Linked DNA regions of Arabidopsis thaliana. The protein of the gene in region 2 interacts with the protein of the main gene of each other region in a pairwise test. Each region holds a gene or a part of one and is shown on either strand. Other genes may lie near its edges.

Evidence for each region. The genes of interacting proteins can lie anywhere in the genome.
Region 1: the proteins of AT2G27770 (region 2) and CKL2 interact in a two-hybrid assay, tested with the Arabidopsis thaliana proteins (one large-scale study listed by BioGRID).

Annotation. Positions count from the first base shown.
Region 1 is NC_003070.9:27,368,546-27,378,243, forward strand, and holds CKL2 (casein kinase 1-like protein 2), read left to right. Parts: upstream 1-3,651; 5' UTR 3,652-4,007; coding exon 4,008-4,083; intron 4,084-4,170; coding exon 4,171-4,211; intron 4,212-5,035; coding exon 5,036-5,105; intron 5,106-5,198; coding exon 5,199-5,347; intron 5,348-5,424; coding exon 5,425-5,520; intron 5,521-5,600; coding exon 5,601-5,668; intron 5,669-6,018; coding exon 6,019-6,080; intron 6,081-6,163; coding exon 6,164-6,227; intron 6,228-6,313; coding exon 6,314-6,398; intron 6,399-6,474; coding exon 6,475-6,601; intron 6,602-6,709; coding exon 6,710-6,792; intron 6,793-6,865; coding exon 6,866-6,929; intron 6,930-7,039; coding exon 7,040-7,176; intron 7,177-7,357; coding exon 7,358-7,633; 3' UTR 7,634-8,185; downstream 8,186-9,698. Other genes in the region: AT1G72700 (ATPase E1-E2 type family protein / haloacid dehalogenase-like hydrolase family protein), read left to right, coding at 1-172, 259-369, 458-734, 819-907, 1,010-1,097, 1,202-1,411, 1,542-1,667, 1,797-1,895 and 2 more; AT1G72720 (hypothetical protein (DUF3511)), read right to left, coding at 8,358-8,741; AT1G72730 (DEA(D/H)-box RNA helicase family protein), read right to left, coding at 9,495-9,698. UniProt on the Arabidopsis thaliana protein: Casein kinases are operationally defined by their preferential utilization of acidic proteins such as caseins as substrates. It can phosphorylate a large number of proteins.
Region 2 is NC_003071.7:11,830,497-11,837,906, forward strand, and holds AT2G27770 (DUF868 family protein (DUF868)), read right to left. Parts: upstream 3,932-7,410; 5' UTR 3,556-3,931; coding exon 2,593-3,555; 3' UTR 2,047-2,592; downstream 1-2,046.

The DNA.
Region 1 (9,698 bases), on a different chromosome or scaffold from region 2:
CTATTCCCGAGCTGAACGAGGAGACTGGCAAGTACACTTATGAAGCAGAGTCACCTGATGAGGCTTCTTTTCTTGCTGCTGCTAGAGAGTTTGGTTTTGAGTTCTTCAAGAGAACCCAGTCAAGTGTTTTTATCCGCGAGAGGTTCTCTGGTTCAGGGCAAATAATCGAAAGGTGAGATAGTAAAGATGTTATATGTTTATCAGTTTAGCTCTAATTTTTTTTGCGGGCATCCTGAGTAAGTACCAAAAACATTGCAGGGAGTACAAAGTTCTGAATTTGTTGGAATTTACGAGCAAAAGAAAGCGAATGACAGTAATTGTACGCGATGAGGAAGGGCAGATTCTTCTACTATGCAAAGGAGCTGACAGGTTAGCAATTTGTCACATTGACCACATCTAGAAGCTTATGTACAATAAATCTTTACTTTTATCAACTGTTTCTTCCTGAATTTTACAGCATCATCTTTGAGCGGTTGGCGAAGAATGGAAAGACATACTTGGGACCTACCACTAGGCATTTAACTGAATATGGAGAAGCCGGACTCCGTACACTCGCACTTGCTTACAGAAAGCTTGATGAGGATGAATATGCAGCTTGGAACTCTGAGTTTCTTAAGGCCAAAACTTCAATAGGATCTGATAGAGATGAGCTGCTTGAGACGGGAGCAGATATGATTGAGAAAGAACTTATCCTTATAGGAGCTACTGCTGTGGAGGACAAACTCCAGAAAGGGGTATGCATTGTTGCACAGACACACTAACGCCATATTTGTCTTGCTTATGTAAACTGAATTCCTTTTCTTTTTCATCTGACTTAGGTGCCCCAATGCATAGATAAACTTGCTCAAGCTGGGCTCAAGTTATGGGTTTTAACTGGGGACAAAATGGAAACTGCAATCAACATTGGGTTAGAATCTCTGATTTACCTTGAACATAAACTAGAAAGTATATCTGTAATCTGCTTTTATCCAGTGATTTTTATGCACAAATTCCCTTTTATGAACTGCAGATTCGCGTGTAGTTTACTACGACAAGGCATGAGACAGATCTGCATAACATCAATGAATTCAGAAGGAGGATCCCAAGATTCAAAAAGGGTATGTCTAATGGAGTTGCATGATGCATATTGCTAAAGTATGAATTTAAAGTTCCTTCAACTAAAATTTCGAACCTCACTCCTATATTTCTACTGATGTGTTAGGTTGTGAAAGAGAACATTTTGAATCAACTCACAAAAGCTGTACAAATGGTGAAGCTTGAGAAGGATCCGCATGCTGCATTTGCTTTGATTATTGACGGGAAAACTCTAACTTATGCCTTGGAGGATGATATGAAGTATCAATTCTTGGCTTTGGCAGTGGATTGTGCATCAGTCATTTGCTGTCGAGTGTCTCCCAAGCAGAAGGCTTTGGTATGTATATATATATATATCCTTCCCTTATTCGTTTCATCGCATTCCTCCTTGACTATGCAACTCCCGAAACTTCATACAAAAAAAAGAAAATCTAAATTTATCTATTTTGCTCTTTCCCAAATTCAAGGTTGTTAGGTTGGTTAAAGAGGGAACTGGAAAAACCACATTGGCAATAGGTGATGGTGCAAATGATGTTGGGATGATTCAAGAAGCTGACATTGGTGTAGGAATTAGTGGGGTTGAAGGAATGCAGGTTCAGTTTTTCTCTCAGCACCATGCCTTTTCTGTTTTTCAAGCCATGTTTTCTGTTTCTTGACTAGCAGAAAGTTCATTGAAAATCAAACCATGTCGACATTTTTGCTGATCCTTCTTACTTTTGCAGGCTGTTATGGCTAGTGACTTTTCGATTGCCCAGTTCCGGTTTCTGGAACGATTACTCGTCGTCCACGGACACTGGTGCTACAAAAGGATAGCTCAGATGGTAATATGTAGTTCTTTTGGCCATTTTAGTTACTCTTACATTTAGTTTGTTTCTAACCTTATGTTGTTCTACATCCAGATTTGCTATTTCTTCTACAAAAACATAGCATTTGGTCTCACTCTCTTCTACTTTGAGGCTTTCACCGGGTTTTCCGGGCAATCAGTATACAATGACTACTACTTGTTGCTCTTCAATGTTGTCCTTACCTCATTGCCAGTAATCGCCCTTGGTGTCTTTGAACAGGATGTTTCTTCCGAGATCTGCTTACAGGTAAGCTTTATAAATCTCCCTTCTTGAAAAGCTATTTCGAATCTCTGCTGATCATCGACAATAATCTGTGTTTTTTTCGCTTGTGCTTGTGTAGTTCCCAGCTTTATACCAACAAGGCACAAAGAACCTCTTCTTTGATTGGTCAAGAATACTTGGATGGATGTGCAATGGCGTCTATGCATCTCTTGTCATATTCTTCCTCAACATCGGAATCATTTACTCTCAAGCTTTCAGAGACAATGGCCAAACAGCTGACATGGATGCTGTTGGCACAACCATGTTCACTTGCATAATCTGGGCAGCTAATGTTCAAATCGCGTTAACCATGTCCCATTTCACTTGGATCCAACACGTTTTGATATGGGGAAGCATCGGTATGTGGTATCTCTTTGTGGCTATCTACAGTATGATGCCTCCGAGTTATTCTGGAAACATTTACAGGATTCTTGATGAGATTCTTGCTCCTGCACCTATCTACTGGATGGCTACATTGTTGGTCACAGTGGCTGCAGTTCTTCCTTACGTTGCTCACATTGCATTCCAGAGATTCTTGAATCCATTGGATCATCATATCATCCAAGAGATCAAATACTACGGAAGAGATATTGAAGATGCGAGATTGTGGACCCGAGAGCGTACAAAAGCCCGAGAAAAGACAAAGATCGGATTCACAGCTAGAGTCGATGCGAAAATCAGGCATCTAAGGTCGAAACTGAACAAGAAACAGTCAAATCTCTCACATTTTTCAGCTCAAGACGCAATGTCACCTAGATCATTGTAGCCTTGTATAGTGTTTGTTGTTTTTCTACAGGTCCAATTCTCTGATGCATCAGACTTTGGAGACAGGTCTTGAAGCTAATTTTGTTGAGAGTTTATAATAGAGTGAGATCATGTAAAGAGTAGCCTCTGATGTTTTTTCTACTTGTTGGGTTCGAATTTTTCTTTATCTTGTACACATTATACTTAGGTTTTGTGTATACTTAGGACAGAATGCAAAAAAACATAACAAAGAATCTTCCTTCTGTGCCTCTTCTGTGCCTCTTCTGTGCCTCTAATCATTTAATTGGTCATTTATATAAATTTGTTTATACAAAATCTGTTAAGTGAATCTTGACTTTAGAAAAAAAGAGAGAAATAACTCTCAATAGCAGTGATTTGTAAAATGATTTTCATTTCAACTAGAAATAACTCTCAATTTCATTTCATAAGTTTCCACAAAGAAATATTATAGAAATTGTTGCTTTAGTAAATGGTTTCGTATCCACCAATTGGCATTTAGGTAATTAGGTAATGAAATCTCCAACTTATTTGCGTGTCTGTTACTTTCTAGTTTCTAGTGACTTTAGAGATGAAGTGGTTGGCGAATAAATTAACTTACTTTATACTAATATATTAATTTTAATTTAATTAATTATTCTGGGCCGGGTTTTGCCCAATATGGGTTCAGTACGGCCCAACAACTCCGCAATTATTATTATTTTTCCATGGAGAAAATAAAAAAAGAAAAGAATAATAAGAGAGATTTGGTTAAAATGAGAGTGTAAGCAATTCTGAGTCTATCCCTTCCCTTTTGGGATATTTTCGCCGCGTGGATTGATATGACGACTCTCTTTCGCCGGAAGTCAATCGGAATCCGCGACAACTTCTTCCTTCAATCCCTTTGATTTTTTTTTGGCTCTACTTATCCCAAACCCTTCAAATCTTCAGGTCCAATCTCTTCTTCTATTTGTTTTTTAATTAAAAAAATCCGGCGAAAGGTGAAGCTCTTGGATTCGAGTGGTGGCTAGTAATCGATTTCGGTAGTTTAGAAGTAGTTTATAGGTTTTATCAGCTTTCGATTTGATGGAGCCGCGAGTCGGAAACAAGTTTCGGCTCGGAAGGAAGATCGGCGGTGGATCATTCGGAGAGATCTATCTTGGTATCCTCTTTATTCTGATTCACCTCTCGTTTGTGGTCTCTGTGACTGCGATGATTATATAAGTATTTGTTTTAACATGGTTTTTAGGTACCAATATCCAGACGAATGAAGAAGTGGCTATTAAACTTGTAAGTAATTCCTACTCAAAAAGTGGAACTTTATCATTTTCAGTGTTTAATTGAAGTACATAGAATTTAGTATTGCAATGTAAAGTCTGTACGTATATCTTCATTAAATAAAAGATTGAATTTTCTCGGAAAGTGGGAAGAAAGCTTTGATTGTTGTGAGTTGTGACTTATGTGTAGAAAGACTTCTGTTTATTGCTTGGTCTTTCTTAGCTTGTAGCTTCTCCTTTTACATGTTAAAATCGATCGGAATGAAAACGTTGGTGTACTGTGTTTAGACGAAAAAGGAATAGAATTTTATTTAACAGGCTACACACTGCTTTTTCTACTCTGATCATGCGATTGTTGCAATTTAGTTGAGTTCTTCCTTAAGCTTCCTCTTGATTATCTATGACTGTTTTCATTCAGTATTCAACATGATCAAACCAATATTTCTATAGTTTAAATCTGGGTTCAACCTGACTTTTCCGTAAGAACTGAGATCTATTATTGATTCTTGAGCAAATAGTCTAATTAATGCTGAATCAATTCTTAGAGTCCACGACAAAACTACCTGCAACTGGTGGGACCAACCTATTGAAAATTTTGTTGTGGCCTACAACTGGAGAATTATGAGGCTGACAGCTATACATATTACTGTATTGAACATTGGTTGTTTCTTTTTTCTGTTACCTGTTTGTACTGGTTCTGACTGTTGAGTATGTTAAATCAAATCCTCATGCTTGTTTCACATTTCTTTTTTTGCTCTGAAATGTAACAGATTTATCGTAGTTTGGCTACTGTGTTTGTTGTATATGTTCTGACGGCATCTTTTCTTCTTGTTTCAGGAAAATGTGAAAACTAAGCATCCTCAGTTGCTGTATGAATCAAAGTTGTACAAAGTATTACAAGGAGGAAGTATGGATCTAGTTCTGTACTTGTTTACATTTGTAGTTTGTGATGTCTTTTTTCTTATCCAAGAGGGGTTGCTTTCCTTTCCTTGATTTCTAGCTGGCGTTCCAAACGTTAAATGGTATGGTGTTGAAGGGGACTATAATGTCCTCGTGATAGACTTGTTGGGGCCTAGCCTTGAAGATCTATTCAATTTCTGTAGTAGGAAACTCTCACTAAAGACTGTACTAATGCTTGCAGATCAAATGGTAGGATCCCGTCTATAGCCTGAAAATTGTGTTCTCATGTTGAATAAACGTTTAGGATATCTTTGTTCCTCTTTCAGATCAATCGCATTGAGTTTGTACATCAGAAGTCATTTCTACATCGGGACATCAAGCCTGACAACTTTCTGATGGGTCTTGGAAGGCGTGCAAATCAGGTAGCTGTTGAAAAGGGCTGTTAGTAAAATTTGTTTATTCTCCAGAATTATTTGTTCAACGATTTGTTGACTGAATACAGGTATACGTCATCGACTTTGGTCTGGCAAAGAAGTACAGAGACTCAAATCATCAGCATATTCCATATAGGTTGGTTATAGCCCTATGATTTTCTTTGGGTCTGTTATTTATTTACGCCTATGTAGACTTTTTAAAAAAAAAAATCTTTTACTAGCTTGTGTGACTGTTGTCTAACTTAAAATTCTTCTATGTAACACATCCCTGTAAAAGGGTGGAGTCATCTTTATCCTCAGGATATATGGCTATTCAGGATAACTGTCGTTTTAGTATTGACTCAGGATATATAGCTTATTTCCCCTTTTTTTACGAAGATGCATTAGTATATGAGAAAATCATTTTAATGTATTGCTAGGAAGTATGATTGCAGTATATGATGTTTCTTCATATCAATTATAATTCTAATATTTTGTGTATCACAGGGAAAACAAAAACTTGACTGGAACTGCTAGATACGCTAGCATGAACACTCACCTTGGCATTGGTAATACCAGTTCATTTAGTTTCTAACTTTCTAATTATTTTAAAGAACGTAATTCTGGATAGGTAATTGCTATTTTATTACAGAACAAAGTCGTAGAGATGATTTGGAGTCACTTGGATTCGTTCTCATGTACTTCTTAAAAGGAAGGTATGTACCTCTCTTCCGTACCTGTTGGCATGTTGCTATTGGTTCTTTTTCGGCGGCATTTGGCTTACTTATCCAATGTAATGCAGTCTTCCTTGGCAAGGACTGAAAGCTGGCAATAAGAAGCAAAAGTATGAGAAAATCAGTGAAAAGAAAGTATCGACATCTATTGAGGTAAAATAATGTTCTGATACCTGTGTTGGTGACACCTATGGTTTAATACTGATTAAATATTCTATTCTTCTTTTAGGCTTTATGCCGAGGTTATCCATCTGAATTTGCATCTTATTTCCATTATTGCCGTTCTCTGAGATTTGACGACAAGCCAGACTATGCCTACCTGAAACGGCTTTTCCGCGACCTGTTTATTCGTGAAGGTTTGGTCCCCTCAATCACTTATGTTAATTCTAGTCTTGTGAAGCAAATATAACTTGGACCAGTTAATCAACATGTTAATTTGAGTTTGCGTCATCTGCTTATATTAGGCTTCCAGTTTGATTATGTATTTGATTGGACGATCTTGAAGTATCAGCAATCACAGATTTCTACTCCTCCTCCTCGTCATCATGTAAGAATCAGTTTTTCTTTTCCGAATGTCATCGTCCTACTTAAACTCTGCTGAATATGTACCTTTCTTCCAGGGTCCTGTAGTTGGGCCAAGCTCTGCCCTCCCCCCTGCCATTACCAGTGCTGAGAGGCCATCAGGTAGTTCCATCTATTTCGAGTAGTTTTTTTCCAAATTTCATTACGCATTTGGCTATGTTACTCTGTTCTATAGGGGCATGGTTTTCACCCATCTGATGTGTTCTTTGCAGGTGGCGACGAAGCTAGACCTTCTGGCTGGTCATCAGGAATCCCTAGACGAAATTCTGGACAAATTTTTAACTCAGGAAGCTTAGCTAAACAAAAAGCACCAGTTTCAAGTGATCCTGCAATATCTAAAGATGTAGTGGTGAGTACATAAAATTACCCCCCATGTTACAGGTATCCAATTCTTTAGCTGCTGATTTGAAGAAATAAACATAAGGTTCTGTATTGCTTGTATACACAAGGATTGGCAGCTGAATTTTAGTTTCTTGGATTCTTGTTCTTTGTATTAATGGTAACTGAGCTGTTTGTTTTTCTTGTGACAGTTATCAAGCTCTAGCTTTCTCCGCGCAACTGGGTCATCAAGACGTGCTGCTGTATCCAGTAGTCGCGAAGCTGCAGTTCTGGGAACTGATTCTGAGCCATCAAACCCTCAAATCGTTGAAGCTGGATCAGGCTCCAATTCAAAGATCCCTGTTAGTCGAAACTCACCTATCGTCTCATCTGAGATCAACAAGCTATCATCACCTTCAAGGGCGACTACTTCAGTCATGAAGAACTATGAGGCTAATCTTAAAGGGATCGAGAGTCTGCATTTTTAGTCGTTGGGGCCAGTGAATGATCTTGAAACCCCGGGACAAGTGTAAATTAAAAGACAAAGATGACCTCTCTTAGGCCCTCCTCATGTTTTACGTGCATTTGTGTTTACAGGGAGGGAGACTTGTGCCTCTAAGCACACACTCTAATAACATAGATAAGGAAAAGACTCTGAAGAAGTGATTTTCAGAGAAAGACAAACTCAAAAGAGGGCGAGACTAAAAAGTCAAAAGACTTTTAACACTTTTATTCCCCATTTGGTTTTACACTGTTTATGTTGTGTTTGTCTTGTTTGGTACTGCAACAGCTAAAATCGTTTGTGCTTCAAAAAGGTTTTAAGTTCTTAGAACTATTCCTCGGGCTGCAAAAAAACGTACAAAAGAAAGAAGGTTTTATATTGAGTATCTTCTCATATGGTGTGGGTAAAAATGGTCATTTTTGTTGGTAAAAATAGTGAAATGAGAGCTATAATTCATGGACAGATGCAATAATTGTTCTGGTCTTCCTTAAAGAGGATCTGAGAGTTGCATCTTCTGGTTATGTCATACTTCATCATGTCTACGAATGAATCAATGAAGTATATTGTAAATGCTAAATCGTATTTATCGTAGCTTAAGTTGTTACAGCAATCATCATACTTAGAAGGGTACCCTACTTAGAACAAGAATAAAAACAGACAAGTTCAATGGGGGAAACAAGAGAAGAAGATTGGGAAGATTTGTGGTTGGATCACCACAAACCATAGACAGCGTTTGAACAAGTCTCCTTGAACCATTTGAAGCTTTTCTTCATAGATCCTTTCACTCTCCCTTCAACACCATACACATTATAAGAAGCCACTCTCTTCTTCCTCTGAATCTCTGCCTCACACAAACCCTTAAATCCTTTCTTCTTCACCTTATTGCTTCTCTTCGATTTATTGTTGGAGTCGTCTCTCACAATTGTTGGATTCTGGTATGCATTATAAGTTGATGTACTGTAAGATCTCATCATCACTGGTGGCTGCTGGTTTGTTGGTTCTGATTCTGATTTTTCTCCATGACTGAAGCAATGGTACTTGTTGGTGATGCTGCTACTTCTGGTCTCTTCTCTGCATGACTTAGATCTGAACATCTTCACTTGCAAACAAACCTCAAAAAAAGATTGCTCTGCTTTTTTAGGAAGAAAAAGGAGATAGTTGCTTTTGGGTTTTATCTCCAACCTCTTTCTCTTCTGCTTTTTGTCACTTGCGAGTTTTTGACATATTTATAGAATGAGACATCACCTCTATATCTTGTTCAATATTTAGTGCAGTAATCACAACCTCAATACTGTATCTATTTAGTTACTCGAAGTTTTTTTTGTTTGTATATTGTTTTAGATGAGATTTGTTTGTTACATTTAAAAAAAAAACATTACTAGCGATTAGTTATCACTGTACTTAGTACAGTTTTGCATATTTATTTTTCCTAAGAAAATTTTGTAAGATCTCATGTCCTTTGGATTTACACATGGCCGCTTCTCACTTCATGAATTCGAGGGAAATTTTTGGGGCTCGTCCCCAACCTTATGTAGTATATATTTATTGTAAATTCAAGAGTAGAAAACTAGAAAATCAACAAAAGTTCATTAATGAAACTCAAGTAGAGAAAAGTCTTTAGTCTCATAGAGTATCCTTCCTTGTAAGCCACGTTCACAAAAAGATAAATAATGCCGAAATTCTTGATTGCCAAAAAAGCAAAATCATGTAATGAGTTATGTTCGCTTTTAGCCAAGAACTATAAATCTAAGTAGTAGCCTGAAAACAAAAATCAAAGCATAGAGAAGCTGCCAAAAAAAGGGGTAAACACAGCACTTTCTCAGTAAAAAACAGAAAAAAGAAAGGCTTCAGAGAAGATCAGCAACATTGCTTGGCAACTCCTCAACGACCACATTGTAAAACCTCTGAATATCAGCCATCATTCTCTCATCCTCCGATGTCATGAAATTGATTGCTACTCCCTTTCTCCCAAACCTTCCACTTCTTCCAATACGATGAAGGTAATTCTCCGGTTGGGTTGGGAGGTCAAAGTTTATGACCAGAGAGACTTG
Region 2 (7,410 bases):
AGGATAAAGACATCAAAACGAGGTTGTTGAATATGCCAATCCATTGATTATTTCAAGATAGATTGTACACATAACAAACAAAATATAGAAATGATATAAGTTCAAGTAAAAATGAGAACATGTTGGATTGGAAAGGGTTCAAGAAAGAGAACATAATAATTTGATATGTATAACACAAGATTTTCCATATAGAACTATGTATCACAAATTCACAATGTACACATCAGATTACTCTAACAAAAGACTGGTTCATAAAGCTTGAATCATTCGAGGGTGCAAAGGCGATGATGGCTAATGACATTTCCTCTTCAATCAAATGCATTTGTAAGGTGAAGTTCACTAATCATCACTATTTGAAAATTATTGTCACAAATGTTAAGAATGGCTCTAATATAGGGAAAAAACACAAATATATGTGGAGATTTTGGAAGTTCATGATATTTGAGTTAAAACCTTTTCATAATATCACAAAGAGTATAACAAGCTACTAGAATAAAATTGGCAAAATAAGATATACACTCTTGAAAGATATATATAATCTGTTAAAGAGTAATGGGTCAAATACATGAGGGTGTCATCGGTAGGTAACTTGGTATAAGTTTCTATGGATGTATGATAAGGATTATAGTGGATCACCTTACCTCAATGTAATATTTTTGTAGCATAGTTCGAAAATGGTACCATAAACCTACTACATCTTCACCAAGCTATCATGTTCATTCTATAAAATTCTTTATGTTTTCTTTGGTAGAACTATTAATTCTTTATGTTGTTTTGACTAAGTTGCCGATATAAAAATCTCGAAAGAGTAAAACAGGCATTATGATTGTTTTAGTATATGCTCGAAATTAAGTAAATCTGAATGGCTTATCAATATAACTGGTTTGAGATTTGTTAAGAGAAAATATAATAGAAGTGGAGAGGGATGACATGAACCAAATTTGTTTTATAAATTATTATAAATTCATGATCAAATTGCAATTAGTGATACCATGTGAAACATTCTTTAATGTTATATGGATGAAACATCCAATTGAAATATTTCTAAGGTTTAGATATATATTTGTTTATAATATGCAACCTGAATTATTCATGGAATGCAAATGTTGTTAGTGACTTAAATGAATAAATGGTAATGAATGTCCAGGCACCCCATAGTGCACATATTACATTTTGTATCATACATGGTTTTTTAATTTATATATCGTGTTGTGTGAAAACGTGCTATCGATATCTCTCTCTCTTAAAGCTTTGTTCATTATATATGGGTTTAACAGTCAAATTTCTATTATGTGTAAACAATGGTAAATTTGTCAGCCTTTCAAATTCTGGATTAGTTTTAAATGACTCGAAGCAGTATTTTAATTATATTGTAATGTTATGTTGACCGAATCTTTATTTTGTATCCTATTGTATTATAGTAATACTTATATCCTTTAAATACAGAGGCATGGTTAATCTTAATCGTATGATATTTACATGCAATGATCATTTTAATACTCCTAAATTTCTATAGTATTAAATAGTTAACTCCAATTTATCAAAACTCAAACTTATATGAAAACATAAATTCGGACTGACTATAATCAAATTCTAAAACTAAAGCTTGAACTACTTACATCACCTAAAACTCTCCAAATCAACCAATCTAGAAAAAATATTTGCTTGAATGGGATGTCACCACCTAAACCTCGCCTAACCGAACCAACTTAACTAAAAATTAGCCATTACTAGACATATTTTCTTACAACAATTTTAACAAAAAATGTAAAGAAAAAACTTTGTACTTTACAATGTAGTCACCTAAACCATGAAGAAATTGTTCCTTGAATGATCGAGATGTTAATCACCTAATACATTCCTAACCAAAATAACCTAACTAGAGTTGGAACTTGAAAACATAATAAACTATGCCTTAAATTTTCACATACTGATATTCTAAAACCAAAAGAAAAAATAGCATTTTACATTTTTACTTCATTCACAAATTTTGTTAGATTAATAGGAAAAACAAATTAGCATGAGTAGATTCTAGACCTTTTAACTTTTGTACTTTAAAGAGGCTCCATGCATATCTTTATAGGCGTGCACATATGCCCCAATATATTCTCATCTTATTTCACACTCTTCAATTCTTCTTCCTTAACCATAATCATCAATTACTTCAACATTTATGAAAGAAAAAAACGTATATCTGTAGATGAGCCTACATAGTAATAAACATCATAATGTTGCCAAGAAAGAGAGTCATTGAGACAAATATTTTCCCAACAAATGACTTCAATTTAAGATATGGCAATGTTCTTGAATTTGTAAGAAAACCAAATTTAAAATAAAAATAAAACAACAACTCCTATGAAGAAATTCACATCTTTTGGAATCTCTCAATATTAAATCACAACTCCAACCAAAAAAAAAAAAGAATGTAAGAAAGAAAATAAAATCTATACTCCTCCCAAGAAGAAATTGTAAGTTCAAAAAAAAAAAAAACCCCATAAAAATATCTCAAATATTAAAAACAGAATCAATCAATCAATAACCTTTTTCTTGTAAATCTCAAAAAAAAATTGAGTTTTTTTTTTATAATGTTTTTCAAGTCTTACAGGCGTAAATGAAGAGAGAGAAGTCAAGCTTGTCTTGTTGATCTTTCTTAACAATCTTCTCTTCTAACCAAAGCCTGCTGCTGTCTAAACCATTCCTTGTCCTAAACATGAACACAGCTCTTCCACAAGCTCCTTGATTACTAAAGAACCAATCATGAACATCCCACATCAGATCCACAAGCAATCCATCCAAGAAAATCGTTTGATTCCCTCTGAAATTCCATTGAAGCCTCTTCACTTTTATCACCGTCTTCTTATCAATACAAACAGAGAGAACAGGGTAATGATTGCTCTGTTTTAGACCCTCTGTTTCTTTATTACATCTGATGACGATTTCATGTGAATCTCCTGTCTCAACGAATCTTACTTTAGTCGAGTAAAAAGTATTGTTCCCTGTGAAATGTTCTTGTCGAGAAACAAGAGAGAAATCGAAACCGATATCGCCGGAGAAACCTTTTTTACGGAGAGTTTCTTCAGATGAATCTCCAAGAAGAAGACCCATTTGACCATCAACGAGGACGATAACGTAGAAGCCATTGATAGGTTCAGGACCACACAAGTTAGAATCATATTTAGCTGAAGAAAGATCCCAAAAAACCTCGATTTTACCGAGATCGGAATCAACCGATTTGTTACCTTTCTTCTTACGGAAGAAACGAGAAGAAGTGTTGAGTTTGAGAGTTGTTGAAGGGTTTTGATCTGCGGATGCAACAGAGATGCTTAAGCCATTGTTGTTGTGTGGATTGCACCATGTGACTTTGATGATGAGATGTTTCGATAAAGTGATTCTGTAGATGCTTGTAATGGAGGTTTGTATTGATGGTATGAGAGATGGTGAGATACAAACATTGTTGGTACTGTATTTTGAACATGATGATGATGAAGATGATATTGATAAGGGATGTGTCACGTTTATTGAGTTCTCACTGAAACATGACACCAAATCTCTCATTTTCTTAGGAAAAAATTGTAACAGAAAAAATGAGATTTTCTTGGGAAAGAAATGAGATTTTCCCAAGATGGGTTTTGTTTGCTTGCTTGTTGAGACAACAAAGTGTGTTTCTCTTTTACTTTGAGAATACTTTGAGAATCAAAAAGATCAAATGTTGTTGAGAAGAAGAAGAAGAATGAGAGAGTTAACAAATCTGGGTTTTTGTAGGTTAAAGATTTGAGTTGCTTTCTTTTTATTTCTTCTCTGATTCTCTTTTTTTTTCTTAATGAGAGAGAGGGAGAGAGAGAAATGGATTAAGGTCTCTGTGTGTGTGCTAAGAAGAGAGTGGAGGTGAAAGGAGCCGAATTTAAGTAGTTTTGAGCTTTCATTGTCTAGGGGACACAAATTTGATGTTGATATTTTTTTTATTTTTTTTTATTGTATAGTTGTATGCTAACTAATTTTAAAAGTTTTTGTACTTTAATATTTTATTTTTTATTAATAAATTTCTAAAGGGAATTGAAATTTGGTGTTACTCAAATATGACTTTTTGATTAACTTAAAATTGTTTATGATACATTTGTAAAGTTTCTATAAGAGAATTTAAGGTTTATGATTTTTATATAGATCAAAATGATAAACATATACTAATTTAGGAAAAATATTAGTGTATATATAGATTGAAAAAATGTCTGAATTTACAGATAGAGGAATTCTTCTAATATAATGATGGTCAAAGCAACTCTCAGTTAATATAGACATAATATAATCGTTATAATTAGTGAGAATTTGTTTTGAACCATCCATATTTTAAGAAACCGTCATATAATTAAAGGAAGGTTCGTAATGTAGTAATTACGAATACGTTTTTCTTTTTTCTTTTGTAGTTCCATACATCGGAGTCAAGTCGAGAGTTACAATTTATAGACGAAAAAAAAAAAAAAGTTTCAGGCAGCTAAAACTACTACCAATAATAGACTTGTTGCAAAAATAAAAATAAAATGTTTTTACTTATATTTATTTAAAAATATCCTTAATCCGTTTTGAAGAATCGGATATATTAGGAGTTTGTATACAGAATCTACTAATAAAATTTTGGATCAGAAGGATTACATATATGAATATGTCAAGAATATAAAAATATATAACAAGAAATTAGAGTTACACTCTTAGAAAATTTTACAGAACAAGTTTATGTTTTTTTTTGTCTTTTAAATTATTTCATGAACCTGCTTAACTGGGATATCTTAAATCTAATCCAATTCACTCCAATAAAACAGATATCCAATCTATTTGGAAGTAGGTTTGAATTGGTTGGATCCAAGGTGAAATTATATATATATATATATACGGTTCATGTTTTTTTTTTTTTGGTAGTAGAAATGGCATTTTAAAAGCAAGATACTAGAGAAGTGACTGTGATTGTGATCTACTGGTGTTCATAAATTGATACCACCTCACCTGAGATTGAGTCTCCTTCTCATACGATAGAGTTCATTGGGATAATAAACTGACATGTTGTGCCCATATAGACTAAAAAAGCAAATCAATAAAGCTTCATAGAAGTTAACAAACAAAAGAAGTAAACCCGGATATAATGGTCTCGGAACAAATCGGATCGGATCTAAGAGAGGAATTGTGAGCCGGTTGTACAAATTCTCTTAACCGCCAAATGTTGGAACTTCGTTTATTTGCCTGTGTTGGCCTAGATTTTCTCCAAATTTTGATTATTCAAACTCTTGAAATGATATAGAAGTGTTTTAGCCAAAACAATTAGCCCAATTTATTACTTCTCTTTTATCACCTATACATTAATAATAAAATTTTAGAATAAACTTTTTAGTTGGGTTACCAAATCCAGAGGGAACAAAATTTCAAAAGAACGAGACCGTCTGCTTTAAAAATTGAAGGAACGAGAGATTATTTAAAGACAACAAATTTAAGAAAATAAACTTGAGGCAAACCAAACTATTTTCCTTCTTAAATTCTTGAGATACATTATCTTATCGAAGTGAGCTCCATCTCTTCTATTGACGCCCGCCATGAAATGATATTCAACTATATATTGCATCGATAATATATTATATGACATAAGTAATACAAATATTCAAAATAAATGATATAAAATTCTTTTTTTGGTAGTGATATATGGGGTTCTGCATCCGATCCGGTTTTGATGAAATTCTTAATCTTAACCTATTATGCGAACACTCAGCAAAATCCAACTCGTATTAACACGTTAGTACTATTTTATAATCAGAATTTTAAAAATAAATAAATACTATCATAGCTATAATGAAACAAACTAAGCCAATAAACATAGAAAGGAACACGGTTGCTTTGTTTGTCGTGACATTTGGGTGTGGACTTTGGACATATTTAAAATCCAGCCAACCTAGAAAAATTATATTATCACTAGATGTCTCTTGTCGAGCATAAATTCCATTATAAGAACTCATAAAAGATGTCTAATATGTTTATATAAATGTTCATGTATAGCCTGATTTTTGGAATGGCCAAGATCGCAAAATATGTTCTATTATATCCACTATAAAAAAGAAGAGTTAAAACCACTCGAAACAGCGAAAATGTAAAGTGAAACATTTTGCATTTCATTCATTCGTTCAATCAAAATATTTGCAGATTCTTTTTTCTTTTTCTCTTTTAATACCGTACTGTTACACTGGTATCGAAATACTACCGTATCAACTTGCAAAATGATTATAACTTATAAGCATTCAGTAGAAATCATTTATTTTTGTTAAACAGTAGAAATCATTTTTTCGATCCCGAAACGAGATGATGAAACTAATCACTGACAACCATTTTGTGAGTTTTAGTTATTGTATCCTAAACATTTTGATGGAAACATGAGGGTTCTTTAATAATTAAGAATGATGACCATTTCTATCAATTACTAATTTAATCAATTAAAACCTTTTCTATGCGTTCGTTATCGGTTTTGGGCGAAAATAATTATTTGGTGTTATAATAAAATAAGAAAGTAAAAGTTTATAAAGACAGCCTAACATATGGAGATCCGAATAATAGGTATCTTGCTTTTGGAGCTTTCTGATTATTTAATCAAAATGTTTTCAACTTATGTTCGATCTGGATTTTATAATAATTAAGATTCTAATCTGTGCAATAATAAGGTATTTCTTTTTCTTTTGAAATAGGCCACATATAGGAAAAAAGTTCTTGAGTGTAATCATATTGCTGATCGCAAACTATTCATATTCATATTTAGTGACATATAAAGCAAATCAAGGCCAATATGACCTCGAAAATCTATGCAAATAACTTAATAGACTGTTAACAAAATGTGTCAGTATTTATTTTCTTATACATCTCAGTCAAACATAGGAAACTAGGATTTTACACTTATTATTATACTTTGCCCAAAAAAAAGCAAAAAAAAAACAAAACAAAAACTTATAATTACACTATTTTTTTGGTGCTATACAATTCACAACATGTTTCTGTTTCTAAGTTTCTAAACTCATACTACACGTCTCTGACAAATACATGTAGGTCTTTTAATCAAAAATAAAATAAAAATAAAAACGTTTTCCCATACTGTAGTTATATCAATATGTTTTGATTGTTTTCTATTGTTCAAATGTCGTCGTGTTTTTGGAGTAGTTCGTTGCTGGGAAAGTTCTTTAATTACGTGATTATGTGGGCAAGTCAAGCCGTTGACCTAGACACCTAGTTAAGAGAAGGATGATTTGGTATATATATATATATATTTGACATTATGAATTCATAAAGAACTTAGTGAATATACATAACATAATGTATTTAATTGGTATAGATGCATTGTAGAGAAGTTACATTCAATTGAGAGGTCAATGCTATTGGGTTCATAAAACT